Daphnia pulex: one gene and its partner. The protein of the gene in region 1 purifies or fractionates together with the protein of each later gene. This does not show direct contact. Links are inferred from orthologs where the notes say so. Each region holds a gene or a part of one and is shown in the gene's direction. Other genes may lie near its edges.

Region 1 (2,943 bases):
CAGCAACAACGCGAGCACTCCGAACAAACAAGCGAAATAAAGAGCTTTTGCAGACTGACTAGAATACGTAAAACGTACAACTAAGACCGCTGTAATTTGATATAGGAAAAGGAGCAATAGATTTTCCTACTAAAAACAAAAAAGAAAGAACATCTTTATCTATATATGAACATTAAAATATCGATGAAATTGTGTAAATGGAAATTAATCGTGGTGTAAAAATACGAAAAACGTCAAGAAAGGATTTAAAATCGAATCGAACCTTCTTACGCCACCTAGCCTTCTGTTTCTGAATCAATTGAAGGAGAAGAGTTTGAATGTAATTTTCATTAACTAAAATCTTTCATTTGTGTTAAAAAACGCTATCACGATTACTTCACGTTACCACGTTGACTACTTCAGAAAATTCTTAACCCTTTGATAATTTCTTTACATCATAAAAAAGTTCAAAAACATACATAAAAATAAGTAATAGAAAACGAGATCCATACCTACTGATGTCTTCAGATGTTTTTGATTTATTTTGTCCATTCCAACAAGTATGTTCTGTCCATTGTTGGTTCAACACTTGGATCTGTTGTTGAGCTCCAGCTAAATCTTGCAAAACTTTTTTTCTTTGAATTTCACAACTTTCATGACTAACAGAAAATTTTGCATTGGATATTGTGTCAATCAGTGAAAATAGCCTTTGTGTCACAACATTTGCTTGGCCCATTCTACTAGACTCTTCATTTGAAATCATCACCTTTGTTTCACTTATGATTCCAGGTACTTGTTTCTGTTAAGTATTGTAAAACCAAACTGTCATTTAAATTTTAAAACAAAAAATTATTAACTGTAAATATATCAGCAGTACCCTGTAAAATGACACTTCTTTTTCCAAAGCTTTGATGTAGATTATCTGCTTCTGAATCATTCCAGTTAAAATGTAATCTGAACTATTTCCTTCAATCAAAAGTCCACTTTTTTGAGGTACTGGGCTCTTGAAGAGAGCTTTACGAGCAGAAAGTGATTTTGTCTCTGAATTTTCTGATGAAGAAAGATCACGTCTTATTTCTGATGCCTGTACACAAAGAACAGGAACCAATTCAGTTTTGATTATACCATTAGAAATAGTTAATACAACCTTCAATCCACTTCTATAAATTTGTTGATCTGAACTATCACTTTCAGACAAAAATTGTTTAAGTTGATGAACCGCTTTGTAGTATTCATCTGGACTATCACTCTTCCGGAAATCCATTTTTGAAGTTTTTGTCACTTAAGAATTAAGACAAGTATCAAAAGTAGTAGTTACGTAAACTGAAAAATATCACCAGCAGTGAATATGTTTGTTTTGATTTGAATCATCTTTTGCAATTCCATTTTCACGTCGCTATGACAACGACAACTGCACTTTGCTGCAGTTGCCATACATTTATATTAATTCAATAAACTCACAGAAACTAAAAAAAAGGTATCAAAATAACATCCCTTATTCCTTTGAAGTTTGAACAGTAAGAAAATATTTTTATCTTCAGCATTAATATTTTAATTACCTTCTCAGAAAATTTGTGATTATTGCCATCTTCCGCCAGATGGTGATTGTATAGCTGATTCAGGTGTTTACAACAGACAACAGTATCCAGCTGTTAGCAAAGATGGATGCCACCATCAAGCAAGATTTGCCACCTCCTGGAGGATATGAAAAAATTCAGTATGCTCGTAATCCAGCAAAAACATTCTTTAGAGGTATGTCTCGATTACATTTTCGTGGAATAGTTTTGATTTATTTACCTTCAATGTATGTGGTTTTTTATGTTCAAATAGTACAGACCTTACATCTTAATTTGCTAATTACAATATTTTTACAATGTGTATACAGGAGGAAGGTTGCTTGCTGGATTTATAATTCTCAATGGCTGCACCACCTACTATTACTTTAACCATCTTTATCCTGGAATTCTCCATCGGAGGGTTGAAAAAAAAGGTTCTCACTTAGCAACCTTGCCTTTGCTGTTGGCTGAACAGGATAGAGCGTAAGCATTAATTTAAACTATAAATTTCATCAGTATACAACAATCTAATTCTTAGAAGTAATTTCCTTAAATTTTTTGTAGATTCTTAAAGCACTGCAGAGCTTTGCGAGATGAAGAGGAGAAACTAATGGCCAATGTCCCTGGCTGGGAGGTATGCATATATCCTGTATTTTTGTAATTTTTCTATATTAAAAAAATGGTCATCATTTCATTCAGGTTGGCAAGTGGAATGGTCAACCAATTTTTAAAACACTTGATAAGGATGTTTTTTCTAATCCAATCCTTAGTGAGTACTATTGCCATGCCCCTTATATGGATTTCTACAAGAAAGCTATGGAAGAGGCAATCCAAGTTTAGTTTTCATTCCTGATGTAAATGTGAAAACAGGAAAATCTAGTAATGAGTATTGAATGGTACTGTGCGATCTTTGAGTTTTGGAGATGTTCTCTTTTAGTCTCATAAATTATAATTATGATATGCTTGAAGGTTAAACATTGACATCTAGTCAATTAAATTAATTAGGTGAAACATATTTAAAAAGGAGTTTAAAAAAACAAGTTTTATCATCTGTGGAGAAAATATCAAGAATTTGGCCAAGAGGCATGATATAGTCGGATGAAGCAAAGACGTTGTAAGCTTTACGTTGTCTGCATTTTTTTTAAAGCTAACCTCCACCAATAGACGTGAGGCATCATTAATTAGACTTTCGTGTTTTATACGAACATTTATTACTTAACATAGGTAGTGGGGAATGTTTTTAATGTACCGTCTGATTTTATTTGTTTCTATAGAAGAACAGCACCAGCCGAATATCAGAGAATTGTAGGTTGAATAGCAAATTTAAAGGTCTAGTTAGAATGACATTTTCATTGCCCAATATAGGATACTCCAATTCCGCAGAGAGCTGTGTGCATAGAAAAGTCGA
Region 2 (2,854 bases), on another chromosome or scaffold:
TGTATTTGTAGAAAGGAAGTACCGTTTCTTGAGCAGCTCAGAATCTGAAGTAGAGGACGAAGTAGAGGACGAAGTGGAGGACGAAGTGGAGGACGAAGTTGGGGACGAAGTTGGGGACGAAGAGGACGACAAAGTGGAAGACGAAGAGGACGACAAAGTGGAAGACGAAGAGGACGACAAAGTGGAAGACGAAGAGCACGACGAAGATGATGGCGAAGACGATAACATTTTTCTCAGTCCTCAGAAAACAAAAAGTCATAAAATTTCGGTTCCTTCTGCCACTTTAAAAACGCCAGCCTCAGTCGCTAACAAAGTTTCAGAATTGGGTACACCCAAAACTTCGAAATTCCGTTTCCTACCCGAACCGGTACCACCGCCCCGGACTCCCAGGCGAACGCTTACTTTGGTCAAGGAATCTTCACCGAATAGAGTTGAGCAGTCTATTAGCATTCCAGAAGATGTTGCAAATGCAGAACTGCACAAGAGATCGCAAAAGGAAACTCCACTTATTAGGCCTTCAACATCTCGTGCAAACGGTAATGATAACTGAATTTTAAACAAAATTTGCCTCGCAGTGCACACTCTTTTGTTTATTTACAAACAAACTGTTTTGTCTTTAGAAGAATCAAGCGAGGAAACTCCTTTGTCAAAGAGAAGAAGATTCCCCGATTCTTCAAAGAAACAGTCGTCAACTAAACGACTCCAATCCCCTGTAAAATCCTCGCAACAGTTGAACGATCTCGAAAACGACATCTATGCCCATGGGGATGGTATTTTTTTTTTATAGTTCATTTAAAATTTGAATTGTATGTCAAAGTATTCATTGGATTTAGATTCTGGACTTATTGAAGAAGTACTGAAAAGAACTATGCTCCGATCTGCGAATTCAACGAACCAAGCCCCATTAAGTTCCGCCATTGATCCGTCTACACTTCCGGTGCCAAACCGCAGTCATCTACGGACGCAATTCAATCTTTATTTGGCCTCACCCGGCGATCCTGTACGAGTACAGCAACTGTCTAACGCTGAACACAGCATGTCGTTGGTTCATCTACTGCCAAAAATTGTTTTTGCTCTGAAAATTAATAACCCGATAATGGTAACTTTAACTGGTGTAACTGATTTAAATCTTTATTTAAAAAATTTTTTGTTATACAGGTCGTGCGACTCAAAGGAAGCGTCGAATTTAGAAGCAATCCCCATGTTCCAAGTCGCATTTTACTCAACTCGTCTACGAGACTTGTTGACCTTAAAGCGGGTATTCTTCACGTGGTCAACACAGGGGAACAAGTCGCCTCATTTGTACTTTTCGAAACGTTCTAATAGTGGCATTACCGGCAATCTGATTTTTTTTTGCTTCCCTCCAAAGTTTATATTTTCATTCATGTACACGAGATGGCGTTCGCCGTCAACCTGAAATAAATACACTTTTGATTGTCGACTGCTTTTGCACTTGGTATTTGCCTTTGGTATTAGTATTACCTAATATTTTCAGTTGCGAGATTCGTTTGAATTTGTAAAGTTGAAAAGTTCGTCACAATCGCAATGGGGAATATAACTGCTAAAATTACGAAAAGAGCTATGAGGCCCTTTAAGAATTTTGCTGTGGAAGCGCGTACCGAAAGAGTGTTGGCAAAGGAAAAGCCAATATCGGCTCCATGGCACCCTACCACACAGAAGAGAATTGACGAAATCATGAAAAGTACGTATTTTTGAGATTTTATTAATAGTGATTCGTATTCTAAAAATAGTTATTGTTTATTAGATAATCCACATTTGATGGAGGAACAATCCAACAATAAAGATGAGACCTTAAACAGTCGCCTGAAAGAAGTTTATGTAACTTCACATGACAAACCAGAAATACCTATAAGCACAGAAAAGCCCCTTCCATCACACAGAAAAAGTGTTGAACAAGCAGAATTTGGTTACCAAGAACCTGTCAGAGTAACAAGAGGGAAATTGAGTATTCGCCAAGCACTAGTGCTTATCGGGAGACATCAACAGGATCCTGCTAAATATGATGCTCTGGCATTGGCAAAGGAATTCACCATTCACCCGATAGTGTCAGGTATAGTATAGAAAACAATGAGTTTATTCAAATAATTTATAAGCAATAATTTTTATTTTAGGAAACATTTTAAAACACTTTAAAACTTTTGAATACTACAAGCCACCAAAAGTCAAAACTGCAATAGAGGTCAAAGATTATATAGATTTGAAATCTTTACCAGCAGCAAATGAAACAGCAGTCCAACCCCAAATAGAAGACCATAAAATTAAGAGCTGATTTAAAATGAATGTACTTAATTGTAGGGAAAAAGAAAAACCATTTCAATAAAGTATAAAACATATTTGTAATTTTCCTGCGTGCGTGAAGATTTTATTTTATTTTTTTCAAACGATGCTTCTCTTTTTGGTGGCTTGGCAACGCCGACACGCCATCATTGCACTGCCAAAATTTAGAGATTAGTGTTAGTCCTCTTTGCTTGGTGGGCTAGCATCTTGTGGGCGTGTATGTTGTTTTTGATGTTTTTCATACTTTGGAGTGATTAAAACGATGAAATATTGCAATTCCGTCGGGATAGAACGATAGGTATGTCACGCTTTCAAATTCTTACCAACCAGTGGGTTTTGACGTTGCTTTGCGTTCAAGTTGTTTTGAAGGAAAATGCGTCATTCTAGGTGTCAAACGCTAGTTTGTATTTACGACTGATTACGGTTGGGTGTGTAATTTTAGAAGAAAAAAAAACAGTTATTTAGCTGTTGTAAATAGCTGTGCAAGTATTTATAGTAACAACATGATAAGAGTGTTAAAATCAGATATTGCAAGTGTAGGGTCTAGGGTGTAGTG

What was found.
Region 2: the proteins of NADH dehydrogenase [ubiquinone] 1 alpha subcomplex subunit 13-like (region 1) and protein NDUFAF4 homolog purify together in Homo sapiens (co-immunoprecipitation; 4 studies listed by BioGRID and IntAct, counting the BioPlex papers as one, with this or other methods). This does not show direct contact. The link is inferred for Daphnia pulex from reciprocal best matches to the Homo sapiens genes NDUFA13 and NDUFAF4.

Annotation. Positions count from the first base shown.
Region 1 is NC_060018.1:5,771,229-5,774,171, forward strand, and holds NADH dehydrogenase [ubiquinone] 1 alpha subcomplex subunit 13-like, read left to right. Parts: upstream 1-1,571; 5' UTR 1,572-1,640; coding exon 1,641-1,731; intron 1,732-1,864; coding exon 1,865-2,018; intron 2,019-2,099; coding exon 2,100-2,169; intron 2,170-2,234; coding exon 2,235-2,375; 3' UTR 2,376-2,429; downstream 2,430-2,943. Other genes in the region: paramyosin-like, read right to left, coding at 492-778, 857-1,063, 1,127-1,243. UniProt on the Homo sapiens protein: Accessory subunit of the mitochondrial membrane respiratory chain NADH dehydrogenase (Complex I), that is believed not to be involved in catalysis. Complex I functions in the transfer of electrons from NADH to the respiratory chain.
Region 2 is NC_060022.1:721,940-724,793, reverse strand, and holds protein NDUFAF4 homolog, read left to right. Parts: upstream 1-1,543; 5' UTR 1,544-1,545; coding exon 1,546-1,702; intron 1,703-1,765; coding exon 1,766-2,071; intron 2,072-2,132; coding exon 2,133-2,290; 3' UTR 2,291-2,354; downstream 2,355-2,854. Other genes in the region: bromodomain adjacent to zinc finger domain protein 2B-like, read left to right, coding at 12-536, 621-770, 834-1,099, 1,159-1,323. UniProt on the Homo sapiens protein: Involved in the assembly of mitochondrial NADH:ubiquinone oxidoreductase complex (complex I). May be involved in cell proliferation and survival of hormone-dependent tumor cells. May be a regulator of breast tumor cell invasion.